2 linked regions of the Elephas maximus indicus genome follow. The protein of the gene in region 1 purifies or fractionates together with the protein of each later gene. This does not show direct contact. Links are inferred from orthologs where the notes say so. Each region holds a gene or a part of one and is shown on either strand. Other genes may lie near its edges.

Region 1 (7,123 bases):
ACCTTGTACCCCACGGCCCAAGTGCAGCCCATCTTCCCATGTGAGGATACCTGCTGGGCTGTGATGCCACTGGCGATAGCCTGCTGCACACTCTCCCGGGTCACCTGCGCCACCACCATGTTGGGGAAGCGATAAAGCATCTCAGAGAAGAGGGCAATGAGAGCGATCTGCAGTTCCGACTCTGGCCAGTGGTAAGAAGAGAGGATGAAGACACCCACACCCGGACCCTCTCAAGCCCCTCCTACAAATGTGATAAGGAACGTCAGGGAACTGTGTAAACATGCAGGTGCCTGGGAGATCTGAACATAAACCAGCACTCCCTCCTGCTCTCTGCCCCCCTCTTCGCCCACCCTCCCCTCCCAGCCCTCTGTCTGTCCTCACCCGTGTAGGCATATAGTCGGTAATTAGTTTCCACTATGATGAAGCCAGGCTGATGCGCAGTGCCCCCAGCCCCAGAGACACCTGATGAGAGATTGATGGCCAGGCGTGTGGGGTAGTAACGCCGAGATTTCCTCTGGAAGGACAGAAGGGAAGGACAGAGGGCCCTCAGGTGTCACTGCCTGACACCTCCCTGCCTAAAACTCAGGTCCCTCCCCCTGCACAGAACCTCGGCCCCCAACTTCTCTCCCCTAGGGACCAAACATGCAGTCCTGGCAACTGCTTCCTGCTACTGCCTCTACCCTGGCTCTTCCCTAGGATCCATGCATCTGGGTGCTTGTACCTTCCTCTGGAAAACGAGTCCAAACTCACGAAGATGTTGCAGGAAGTTCAACAGAGAATCACTCATACCTTCCACAGAGTAATCCTAGAGAAGAGAGGTGGCCACCTGGGGTCCAAAACACATCCCCTCCTCTCTCCCCCAATCCCATATGCTCATGCCTCCTTTCCCATCTCTGGTCATTCTTTGTCCAATCTTACCTCCTTACTCTACTGCTCCATAACCTGAATTCCCCTTCCCATCAACCTACCCCCTCAGTCCACCCACCCAAGCCCCCAGCTCCAGCCCCCTGCTTACCTTGCCGAGAGTAGAGAAGCTAAGCTGGAAGAGGAAGGAGAGAATCTCCACTAGGTCCATGCCCCGGCTCTAGGGAGGAAGGGGCAGAGAAAAAGAGGAAGGATAGGAGGGAGAAAAGGGAGGAGAAGGAGAAAAGAGAAAATCAGGAAACAGAGCCTATAGGTGGGGGTCTCTCATTGGGAGTTGTCTTGGGAAGAGCAGAGCAGGCTGGCAAGCAGCCCCTGGCCTCACCTGGGCTGTCTGCAGATACTGCAGCATAAAGTACCAGAGCTGGGCAGGGGTATCCAGCAGCAGAAACTGGAAGCCAGCGGAAGTAATGCAGGGTGGCTCTCCAGGTTCAGCACTAGGGACACAGACAGGGACGATGGTGGAGATACACAGAGAAGGGCCACCATCCCCACTTGCCCTCTCACTTTTTTTGGTTTGTTTTTGGTATCTTTGGCCTTACTCCACCCAGCTCTCCTTTTTTCAGCCAACCCCTCCAATCCTGATCCTCCCGAGACACCCAGTTTAGCAGGGACCCAAGGAGACAGCAAAGCAGGAGCTGTTGTACCTCTTCATGAGCCCAGCCTGGCTGAGGAGCTGTGCCAAGTCCTGGCTGACAGCTGCACTGGGGGAGCCCACCATGAAGTGCAGGACTACCTAAGAAATGGAAAAGAACAGAGAGAGTGATGCCTCTAAGGGCCACAGGTAAGTAGCAGCATGAACAGAGACACACACAGTCCCAAGTCCTCACCTCCCATCGCTCCTCAGCATACTTGTCCAGGGAGGGAACGTCCCGGGCATGCTTGTCTGGTCCTAGCTGACTTGTGTCATCAGACCAGGCCTTTCCTCTATGGCCAAAATGGGCCAAGAGTAAGGAACCTGCCCTGTGCTCCCCACCTACCCCCGCCCCCTTTCCCCCCTTATCCCCATGGAACATGAGTGGGGGACATTTCCTACCCCACCCAGCTACATCTGGTCCAACTGATTTATTTATAAAGGGGCTCCCAAAGGTGCACCCACAAGGTTACAGGGAGGCCCCTTGGGAGTTAGCCCCCAAGAAGTTTATCATTTCCCCTGTCCTAGGTGAGGAAGAGATGGAGGTGACATACCCACCCAGAAGGGCAATGCGGAGGTTCTGACGGAAGATGGGGTTGAGGATGAGGCCCTGGAGACCTCCAGGGAGCAGCTGGGTGTGCCAGATACGGAGGCCGCTCAGCAGCCCTGTACTTTCCTCCTGAGCCCTGAAACAGAAGCAAAGAGGTGACTTGGGTGTCTGGAGAACAAAAAGAAGTAGGCCCATAAAAGCTTTGATTTCTGCCTTTTCTGAACCAGAGATCCTTAGAACACTGTTCCAGAGTGAAATCAGTGTCTTAAATTTCTTTACTCTAACGCTTATCAGAGCATCTCAGTACATATCGTGGCTCTCCGAGAGGGAAATATAGCATGCAGAGTTCCCAAACTTAATTACAAGCTTTGTGGCATACCCATTAATACCATTAATACTTCCCGGGAGTGTTCGAAGGAACAGCAGTTTGGGAAATACACCTGCTGGGAAATTTGTATCTGGTGAGAAAGCAGTAGAGACTCACTTGCTGAATTCCTTCTTCACCCACAGGGCTACAGCAGCTTGTGGTAAAGGCTGTTCCAGAAAAAGCATCCGCATCACCCAGTTCTTAGCCAAAGATGGGAGCTCCCTACAGAGGAGTAGATGTCAAATGTTAATGTCAGAAGCTGCCTTATAGCTGCACCTATGCCATCAAAACCAAAAAAAAAAAAAAAAACCCATTGCTGTCAAATAAATTCTAACTCACAGCAACCCAACAGGACAGAATAGAACTGCCCCACAGGGTTTCCAAGGAGCACCTAGTGGATTCGAACTGCCGACTTTTTGGTTAGCAGCTGTAGCTTTTAAGCACTATGCCATCAAGGGCCTCTCAAATGTCCCATCTTAGCCCTCACACCTTTACCAGTCCTGCTGCCCCACAAACTCCATCTATTTTGGCCTACCACCCTTATGAGTAATCTCCAAGTTCTCCAGGGCTGCTAAGCCTCTACCCATGATAACTTATTCAAGTCTGGAGGCCTTCATTGCATTTTCCCCCCACCACATGGTCCCTGCCTTCAAGGGGGTCCTCACCTGAAGACAGCCAGACAGGTGGCAGGATGCCCATACAATCGGTCCAATACCCCAGGGCTCAAGCCCCCTAAGAATTCCTGCAGGTTCCGGCATTGTAGGTGTACTCGGTTCAGTCCGCCCCTTGAAGGGGTGCTCTCCATCACCTGAAGGATGCATTGTTAGAAGAGCACTCCCACCAACCATGCCAGTACCACCCCTCACCTTTCTCATTCTGATTCGAGATCAGATTCAGCCTCCTCCACGATAACCCATCTTTTCTGTGGTTTCCTTTTCCATCTCACTTATCTCCTCCTGTTTCTCCCAAATCTGACCAAGCTCCCCTACTTGCCTGCCTCCTCACACCCTACTTCTGTTAATTGTCCCATGTTTGCAAAAATCATTTTGTATTTCAATGGCTTGTCTCACTTTTAGCTGAGCAGTGGCTAAGAAGCCAGTTTGAACCCAGTCCCCTCCCTCCCTTCCATCCTCCCTGGTCAGATCAGACTATGAGCTCCAAATCTGTCAGTTCTTCCCATCTGCAATTTCTTAGCCCCACTTGTGCTAGGAAACGGCAATAAATTACGTCTCCCTGCCACCGTTTCCCCCCATTCACCGTGATCCCACATAGTCCTAGCTCCTAACTTCTCCCCTACTTTCCTCCCACTCCTCTCCTCTCAATTTCTCTCTCATTTCTCCGCCACCCCCGCCCTCCTGGGTGCCCCTCACCACTCTGGATCGATACCCCTCGCGCACCCCGAGTCTCGAGCAGTCGCTTAATGGGAACTGGTGTCTCGCATTGGCTCCCAGGAATAAGAGAAAGAATGGTGAAAAAAATGCGAGAAAAAGACTGGCAAGAGGGACGAAGGACTTCACAGGCAGGAACTCAGAGCGGAGGATTTAGAAGAGAAAGGAAGGCGTGGAAAAGTGGGGAGGAGAATAGGCGCTGCACTCCCCAGCCGCGGGACATACTGGGAATTGGAGTCTTGTTCTTGTCCATCCCGAAGCAGGCCGAAGCGCGTCTGACTACAACTCCCGAAACGCACCGCGAGAAAGCGGGCAGGAGAGAGGCTGGTTTTTAATTTAGAGAGCTGGGGATACCGGCTGGGCTCTTTCGTTCCGCGGCGCTCTCGACCCACGGTGCTAACATCGCATCTAACCGGCTTCGGCGGCAGGCGGGAGGCGGGTCCCGGGAGTAGATGGGCCCGGAGGGCTTCCGGGCAGAGGCGTGCTGAGGCGGCGCGGTGTGAGGCGCTTAGGCTTAGAGACGTGGGAACTGGGTTCCTTGAGCTTAGTTACTCCCCGTGAAGTTGGGACAGAGCACATTCCCGAAAGTTTGCGCGAGTTTGGAGTTGACACGGTCCAATGAGCCTTGTTGCGCAGTGGTTAAGCGCTCGGCTGCTAACCGAAGGGTCAGCGGTTGGAACCCACCAGCTGCTCCGCAGTAGAAAGATCGGGCAGTCTGCGTCCGTAAATATTTACAGCCTTGGAAATCCTGTGGGGACAGTTCTATTCTGTTTTACAGGGTAGCTATGAGTTGGAATTGACTCCACGGCTATGTAATTGATTCGGTTTTTGGCTATTGCACCTTACTTGGCACGTAAGTACTCAATAAATCTTAATTTCCACCTCCACCACGCAGTCACCTCTCGTTTAGTTAGAAGGTCGTTATAAATACAATTAAAAAAAAAAAGTTGCTCTGATTTGGCTTACAAATCTACTGCAGGGAAAGGGGAGGGGACGTCCTCAGACTAGAAGTACACTTCCCCCCAAGTTCCTATAAGGCAGGTTTTATTATTCCATCTTTACAAACGAAAACTGAAGCCCAGCAAGGTTGAGAGATTTGCCCACAATCAGACAGCTAGACAGTGCAAAAGCTGGAATTTGAAGCACATTTGTGAGGCAGCAAAGGATACTGGACCCAAAATGGTAAGACTTTCTTAGGCTTTGTATTCCCTGTCTGTTTCTTTAGCAGTCAGCGTTTAAAATCCTCAAAACATGATACAAAGCTGACAAAACTCTTTTATGGCAAAAGTTAGAGTTAAAAGACAGATTACGGTCTGGGAAGAAATGTTTGATAAAATAGACAAAATACAAAAAGCTCTTACAAAGCAATAAAAACAAAAGAAAAGCACAAGAGATGAACAGACAATAAACAGAAAAAATACAAGTGCCTTGTAAACAGATGAAAAAACTAAATTTCAGTAGTAATTATGGAAAAGTAAATTGAAACCAAATATCAAAGTAAACCATAAAGTACAAGATTAGCTCAACAATAAAAAACAAAACAAAACAAGGTTTGACAAACTCAGTGTTCACAAGGATATACGAGCATACTCATACAAATTTTTTTCACTTACACACTTTTGTCAAAGGTTGACATACGCCTTTTTAAGGGCAATTTGGCAGTATCTGTCAATAGTTTCAGAGCTCTGGGGGCGCAGTGGTTAAGAGCTCAGCTGCTGACCAAAAGGTCAGCAGTTTGAATTCACCAGCTGCCTCTTGGAAACTCTGTGGGTCAGTTCTCCTCTGCCCGGTGGGGTCTCTATGAGTCAAAAAAAAACTCGAGAGGCAGAGCCAAAATGGCGGAATAGACAGACACTTCTGGGGAGCCCTCTTTACAACAAAGACCTGAAAAAACAAGTGAAACCAGTATGTTTGTGACAAGCTGGGAGCCCTGAGCTTTAAAGGCAAGCTTAGAAAACGAACTGAGGGGCAGGGGGAGGAAGAGACCATTCAGAAGTGGAGAGTGGTTATCGAACCTGAATCGCCGGGAGCCCTCAGGCACCATTCCTGGAGCGGCAGCGGCGGCGGGCTGGTAGTAGCATTTGGCCACCGTTTCCTCAGGAAGAAGCAGCCAGCCTTACAGCCCACTCACACCTCCGGAACCTGAGGAGAACAGTGCTCTTGGCAAAAGCTAAGTACTTGGGTATATTTTACCATGCCCCCCCACCCCCAAGCCAGCTTCAGAGGCTGAACTCCCTGGGCCTGAGATAGGCACTGTTCAGCACCTAGAGCCATCCTCCCAGCCTTGGGGAAGGAAAAAATTTGCATTTGGGAGAAAAGATAATTTGCTAGTTCCACTAACCCGGGGACCTCAGGACAGAAGCAGCTCCTCTCCAGGCATAAACCATCCGTGGACTTTGAGCACCTTTCCCTTCTGCATGGACGTGTGTGGGACTATTTCGGGAGAATAGGCCCTTGTTGGCAGACTCTGACCATTTCAGCTGTGCGTTTAAGAGGTGGGTGTTTGATGTTTGACATTGCTTTGCCTATTAAACAAGGTCCCCACCTACCCATATCAGGGACCTAAGGACTGGTAGCTCCACTCAGGTCACTCAGGTCACCCAGCCACCCGCGACAGGGGTCCAAAGATAACTGGTACCTCCCAGACCTTACAATCAAAAACTTTGGGTGCCCATGGTCCGTCTGCAGAACCCACCCACCTGCACACTCTAGGGAACAGGGACATGCTTTCCTCAGAGACACTCGGGAGTCGGTTCTCAGCCACCTACCTTGTTCAGAGCGTGACCCCCTGCTGCAATCAGATACCGATATATATGCCAATCACCCCTGCCCCTCTAAGTCTGTAGTACAGAGCCTGTAACACATACTTGATGATCAGCTACCCGGAAACCTGAGCTGAATTCATACAACAAAACTGAATGGACTCCTAGACTGATATACCTGATAACAGCTCTAGCCATCTGGGGACCAGATGTCAGAGCTCAAAAGGTGAAAATAATCAAGCTAGCTCACTCAAGCAACCCATAGGGTTATACCAAAACAAAACAAAGCAAGAAGCTACAACACATTAAACAGGCATAAAATAATACAATAACTTATAGATGGCTCAGAGGCCACAGTCAATATCAAGTCACATAAAGAAACAGATGATGATCACCTCAACAGGCTCTCAAAACAAAGAATCCGGGGATCTTCTAGATGAAAGTGCATTCCTGGAATTACCAGAGACAGAATACAAAAGTTTAATATACAGGACCCTTCAA
Region 2 (7,123 bases), on another chromosome or scaffold:
AATGACAAGATTAAAAAATATAAAAATGTTCAATGTCAACAATGACATGCCACAATAGGAATTCCCATACACAGTTGTTGGGAACATAACTGATACAATCTTTTTCAGGAACAACTTAGCAATATTCATCAAAATTTAAAAGCCACCTACTCTGACACAACAATTCCAATACTAGACATTCGCCCTATGGTTTACAGATTGTATCTTACGATACACTTACTTAAGTGCTTAAAGAGGTAAGAATGTTTACTCCATGGAAAAATTGGAAACCTAAACATTTACTTAAAAAAGATTGGTTACATAAATTACAGTATAACCAAACAGTTGAGATGCTAGTCAACTGTTAAAAATGAAGAAGACATATATACTGATTTAGAAAAATAACCAAGGTATACTTAATGCAAAAAGTAAGTTTACAATAAGATGCCATATATGCTGGTAGGAGAAAAGGTTTCCTACCTAAACACACATTCATGCTTGTATATGCATAGAAGATGTCTGGAAAGATACAGCAGCAACATAAAAGCTTTTACCTTTGGGGAAATGAATCAGAGATATTTTCACTTAATATCCTCACGTTGCTTCAACTATTAATTAATTGTTAATATGATTGTTTTAATTTTTTAATTACAAAAAAAAAAAAAACTAGTGAGCTCTCTCCTATACTCACCGATACAGAGCAGAGCTGTATTCTAGTTTAAAATAATTCTTAAAACACCTGTTGCCATAGAGTCAATTCCAACTCATAGTGACCCTATAGGACTGGGCAGAACTGCCCCATAGGGTTTCCAAGGCTTTAATCTTTAAGGAAGCAGACTGCCACCTCTTTCTCCCACCAAGGGGCTGGTGGGTTTGAACCTTAAACATTTCAGTTAGAAGCCAAGCACTTAACCACTGTACCACCAGGGCTCCTTAATTCATAATAATTCTTAATGGACTTGATGAGCCTGAGACCAGAAGAACTAGATGGTGACCAGTTACCACCAATGACTGCAGTGACAGGGAACACAACAGAGAATCCCTGATAGCGCAGGAGGAAAGTGGGTTGGGTGCAAAACTCAAATTCTAGTAAAAAGACCAGACTTAATGGTCTGATTGACACTGGAGGGACCCCAGAAGACATGGTCCCTGGACTCTCGGTTAGCCCAAAACTAAAACCATTCCCAAAGCCAACTCCTCAGACTACAGACATACAATGACACTGGTGAGGAGTGTACTTCTTACCTCAAGTAGACACATGAGACTAAGTGAGCAGCTCCTGTCTATAGGCAAGATAAGAAAGCAGAGGGGGAGAGGAGCTGGCTGAATGGACACAGGAAATACAGGGTGGAGAGGAGGAGCAGTATGCTGTCACATTATAGGGAAAGCAACTAGGGTCACATAACAACGTCTGTATAAGTTTTTGTATGAGGAACTGACTTGAACTGTAAACTTTCACTTAAAGCACAATCAAAAAAAGAAAACTACAATATGATCATAATAATTAAAGTTATATTTTAAAATAATCATTATTGTGCTAGTATTTAATAGCAAGCCAAATAAACCCTCTTAATTTTATTTCTGCCTATTACTCATACTGGAAACCCTGGTGGCATAGTGGTTAAGTGCTACAGCTGCTAACCAAAGGGTCGGCAGTTCGAATCCTCCAGGCACTCCTTGGAAACTCTATGGGGTAGTTCTACTCTGTCCTATAGGGTCACTATGAGTTGGAATCGACTCGACAGCACTGGGTTTGGTTTTTATCACTCATACTGTTGTTGTTGTTAGGTGCTGTTGAGTCGGTTTTGACTCATAGTGACCCTATAGGACAGAGTAGAACTACCCCACAGGGTTTCCAAGGAGTGGCTGGTGAATTTAAACTGCAGACCTTTTGGTTAGCAGCCGAGCTCTTAACCACTATGCCAGCTGGGCTCCATCATATTACCCACATGATGTGATAGCCAATATATATGGAGCACATACTATGTGACAAGAACTCTACTAAATACCTCCAAATATTTTACATATGTTGTTAGTAGAGGGTCAACATAAACAAGGGAAACTCTCAATAAAATGGACGGACACAATAGCAACAACAACGGATTCAAACATGCCAACAATCATGAACATGGCACAGAACTGGGCAACATTTTGTTCTGTTATATACATAAGGTTGCCGTGTGTCAGAAGCAACTCAAGGGCATATAACAACAATTTAATCCTTAAGCACTCTAATAAAAGTACCATTACCATCTCTGTTTGAGACATAATATCTTGCCCAAAGTCACACAAGAGTAAAGAATTTGAAATCAAGCAGACTGATTCCAGAGCTTATTCTCTTAACCAATACCCTACACTGCCTTCTTGAATGACACTGTAGTATATACCCTCTTGAATTTAGGAGGTTTTCTTTTATTTTTTTTATACTTCAAGTCAAAAAAGGAATGCAAAGTGTAGTCTGCATCTAACATGTTAACAAATAAACCAAAATAAATACAATACCAGAATGAATTAGAAAATTCTTATGAGATAACAAAACAGACTAAGGATACAATGAAAGCAATTTCCAAAATAAATATTATATAACTAATAAAAATGCCATTTATTTTACTGAAATTCCATAATCTTCCCTAATTGGTTGATTAGTACTAGGCAGAAATTTCTTCCAGTCAATTAAACATCCTTCCAAAAGAGCATACTTGGTCATCTATCTCCCTTTCCTTCGGCACCAAATGTAACAAACTTAATACAAGAAAATGGAAATAAACTGGATAAAATCTAAAAACCTAACCGTCTCTCTACAATGCTTGCCTCCCTTCTTTTTTCCACGCATCCTATTTGATTATGTTTACCTTATTTCTAATGTTAAACCATTCAGTCAGAGCTCTACTGTACTCCTTTGCTGGGTAAGTCAAAGATAAATAAAGATTAATTAGAAAAAGGAACCAATCAAGTAATTTCATAAGTTCTATCATGATACCAATACCTACTTCCTAGGGCTGTTCTGGGAATGAACTAAAATAATTCATGGTAAAAAGCTTAAAATAGTGGCTGGCACCTAGTGAACGTACAATAGGTCCAAAATTAACTGCCTGGAGTTCGGATTTTCTCCCTTTTAGTGATGAGACTATCACCGAACTCTTTTTTTTTTTTTTTTTTGTATCAGGACAACTGGGCATACAGATGAGGTTTTCAAATTATCCCATACAATAAATAGCAGCTGTATATACTCGTAGAAATTTTAACTTTTTTTTTTTAATGTGAAACTAAAGAAACACTCCAAGCCCTCACCCCCACACTTTTAAGCAGCGACATGTGTGGAGCCCACTGGACACCCCAGAGCCCGGAAATAAGTCGAGATTCCCAGGCACCACGGAGGAGGACCCTGACCAACAGCGGGGCACCGCATCGGAGCACCGCTAGCCCAAAGCAGGCCGGGATCGCTCCGCGCTAGCGGCTACCGTCCGTTTACAGAAAGCAACGCTCCCTCTTGCCGTTTTCCTCCCTTTTGTCGAAACTAACGACGCCCTTTACTGTCCTGACCCCAGGCAGAGCATCTCCCGGCTCTCCTCCCACCCTGCGCCTCGCCCCGACTGGAAACCACTGTCGCCGTACTCACAAAGTGTGTCCGCACACATTCACCATCAGCTTCAAGGAGGGGTTCCGGTACTTGGTGGTCTTACACCGGGGGCAGCCCTGATCGTCCATAGCTCCTTCACCCTTACAAACTCGCCCCGAAGCCTGCTTCAGCCACAGCCCCCTCCAAGACCCTCGGTATTGACGCCAAGCAAGTTCTCACCAACCGGCACTTGTCAGTGACGGTCCCTTCGTGAATGAGCACCGGCCGGGGCGAGGCTCTACAGTACAAACGTTCCGGCTGCGAGTTCTCTGGTCCTGCTCTGGGGCTCTGTCTTAGCGGCGCAACACCTTGGTTTGGGAAAAAAAAAAAAAAAAAAAAAAAACTTTTATTTAAAGAACAAGTGACTTTTAATCCATTCGTCTGTGAGTTTGAACTATATGGTATCATTTCCTTTAAGACAGAGATTAACTCTAATACCTGTGTATTCTAAAAAAAATACAACTGTACAGTAAATGAACAAATCTGTAATTTAACATCACATACTATATCATTGTAATGATGCTAAACCACTCAAGACTTAGAAAAAGAACATTTCTTTTCTTTAGGTGCTGAATGTGATTTTACTCGCTGAGCCTTCACATGAATGGTGTCTGGGCACTATTTTTTCTTTCTTTTTTAGCGTTTCTTACACGTACGATTCAGTGACATCAATTAAGACCATCATGTTGTACAACCATCACCGCTATCAGAAAAAAAAAAAACTTTTAAAAGGCAAATTGTACACCTCTCACCTCTATGCACTTAGTCACATTTTTTCAATGTGCTACGTCACAATTACGACGAAAAATTCCATTTTCTATCTAAAAATATTTCCATGATTTCAAAGATTTGTTCTGGTGTACATATTTGATAATTCAGACTAGTATTTTCTTTTGGACAGTTTGATGGCCTGTGCTTTATACTTTTATACTTGTACAGCCAGACATGCAAGCATAGAAAATACAATGCATTCTCAGATATGCAAAGTTTAGAAAATTTATCTAGAATTACAGTCCCTGTACCAACTCTAAATACTACAGATTCTCACTAAATAGCAGAATATTAATATAAATAATATCTGGCATCTGCTCTGCAGAGACCTGCTCACCTGAAGACTGTCAAACGGGCCCAATAGTGTCAAGTGAGCCTAATATTTCCTCCCTATTCCCACTCAACCAAAGACAACATTTATTTTCCCAAATACTGGGGAAAAAACTTAGAAAAATATATGCAACTTTCTTTCAGCAATTCCAAGATCTAAAACTGGAATCTCTTTGGAAATTGTAAGCCACATTCAGTGCATTTATCAAGGCTATAAAATAAAGTCTATAAATGGCTCTATTAAATAAAAAACTGTTCCCATTGTAAGGGACTGAATCTTAATGACCTCCATAGCACATCTCAATAAGGACTTGTGAATATGTATTGAATAAGTAGAGTAAATGTATGACTGATCATCAAATAATAGTACAAAGTGAAAATCTTTATGCCAAACATTATCTCTCTTGCAATCACCTTCACCTGACCTAAATTCCATCCAGACAAGTGGGCATGCAGAAAAGATTTTCAAATCAACCCACACAATGATTGGAAGCTGTATACATTCATAGTAATTTTAACTTTTCATGTTACTTTCGTTCTTTTCAATTAAAAAAAAAACTCAACCTTCATACTTTTAAACAGTGAACCCACTTGGCAACCTGTAACATGGAAATACAGTTGGGATTTACATGAGTTATGGAGGGAAAACCTGACAACAGCTGAATATCATATGAGAGAACCAGCAGCCCAAAGCAGGCCATGGCAGTGCAAGCTTTATATTAGTGTAAAGACAAGTCACCCAACAAACAAATCATGTCCTTGATCATAATATTTATTATTCATTAAAAGAAGCTAACAAAATGTAAGTTTACTAAAATTGACAACACCCAACATGGCCCGACCTACAGGCTTATTGTGTTCCTTTTACCTTATTGAAAGAGATCACAGTGTTTAATCCCAACTGTTTACATGACTCACAGTGAAGCTCTCCAAGAATAAAGCCAACTTTTAAGGTCTTTCTACTTTAACAGAACAGGAAAATCCTGATGAAAGAATGAATATGGCCAGAGTGCAAATGAAATTTTGAACCAGCACCATATCAAGAAGTCAAACACTCAGTCGGCATTACTGTTTATTACCAACAGGACAGTTTGAATCATGTCTTTTAACAGGAGACCCCCACCACATTGTGAAGTTAATTGCATTTCCTGCCTCCTAGCCTTGAGATCAAGGCAAAGAAAAGCAGGTGGGAAAGTACCAGCAGGGAAGCGTGGTGGCAACAGGTGGTTTGGAATTCTATCAGATAAACTTTGGCCATGGAGCTAGAGGGAATAAAAACTAGTGCTTGTAGATGTGGCTTCTGGCACCAAGTGCTGGCTTCATCACTAACTAGCTATGTGACCTTGGGCCTTACTTCTCTCAGCTTTAAACTAAGGATAATACTTGCAAAGATTAAATGAGATATTTCATTAAAAGTACTCAACACAGGGAGGCGGGGCCAAGATGGCAGATTAGACAGACGCTTCCGGCAAGCCCTCTTACAACAAAGACCTGGGAAAAAAAAAAAGTGAAACGATTATATTTATGACAAGCTAGGAGCCCTGAACATCAAACACAAAGTTAGAAAACATACTGAGTGGCACGGGAAGGAAGAGACCGTTAAGAAAAGGAGAGGAGTTACCGGACCTGAGTTGCCAGGAGCCCTCAGGCACCATTCGCGGAGTGGCTGCGGCAGGCTGGTACTAGCGTTTGGCCAAAGTTTCCTCACGGAGAAGCAGACAGCCACACAGCCTACTCACACCTCCAGAACCAGAGAACAGTGCTCTCGGCAAAAGCGAAGTACTTGCAAATATTTTACTGTGCCCCCGCCCACCTCCAAAGCTGACTTCATTGGCTGTTAATTTCCCTGGGCCTGAAAAAGGCCTGAAAAGCCATTCTCCTGCTCTTGAAGAAGGAATAAAATTGCAATTGGGGGAAAAGATAATTTGCCATCTCCACTAACCAGGGGCGCTCAGGACAGAAGCAGCTCCTGTCCAGGCATAAACAGTCTGTGGACTTTGAGTATCTTTCCCCTCTGCATGGACCTCTGTGGGCCTATTTCAGAAGAACAGGTCCCTGTTGGCAGACTACAACTGTTACAGTTGTGCGGTGAGGTGGTGGGTGTTTGATGTTTGACACCACTTTACCTATTAAACAGCATCCTCACCTACCCACATCAGGGGCCTAAGAACTGGTGGCTCCACTCAGGTCAGGCAGTCACCTGCAACAGGGGTCCAAGGATAACTGGTACCTCCTAATCCTTACAAACAAAAACATTGGGTGCTCATGGGCCATCTGCAGAATCCACCCACCTGTACACTCTAGGGAAGAGGGACGCGCTTTCCTCAGAAATGCTTGGGGGACAATTCACAGCCCCCTGCCTTGTTGAGAGTGTGACCCCCTGCTGCAACCAGATACCAGTACCTACACCAATCACCCCTGCCC

The links. The genes of interacting proteins can lie anywhere in the genome.
Region 2: the proteins of GTF2H4 (region 1) and MNAT1 purify together in Homo sapiens (co-immunoprecipitation; 3 studies listed by BioGRID and IntAct, with this or other methods). This does not show direct contact. The link is inferred for Elephas maximus indicus from reciprocal best matches to the Homo sapiens genes GTF2H4 and MNAT1.

Annotation. Positions count from the first base shown.
Region 1 is NC_064819.1:91,217,084-91,224,206, reverse strand, and holds the start of GTF2H4 (general transcription factor IIH subunit 4), read right to left. Parts: upstream 4,047-7,123; 5' UTR 3,870-4,046; intron 3,281-3,869; 5' UTR 3,278-3,280; coding exon 3,138-3,277; intron 2,695-3,137; coding exon 2,590-2,694; intron 2,242-2,589; coding exon 2,110-2,241; intron 1,849-2,109; coding exon 1,752-1,848; intron 1,658-1,751; coding exon 1,569-1,657; intron 1,359-1,568; coding exon 1,247-1,358; intron 1,085-1,246; coding exon 1,016-1,084; intron 806-1,015; coding exon 722-805; intron 515-721; coding exon 382-514; intron 182-381; coding exon 51-181; intron 1-50. UniProt on the Homo sapiens protein: Component of the general transcription and DNA repair factor IIH (TFIIH) core complex, which is involved in general and transcription-coupled nucleotide excision repair (NER) of damaged DNA and, when complexed to CAK, in RNA transcription by RNA polymerase II.
Region 2 is NC_064828.1:73,065,714-73,072,836, reverse strand, and holds the start of MNAT1 (CDK-activating kinase assembly factor MAT1), read right to left. Parts: upstream 3,893-7,123; 5' UTR 3,688-3,892; coding exon 3,599-3,687; intron 1-3,598.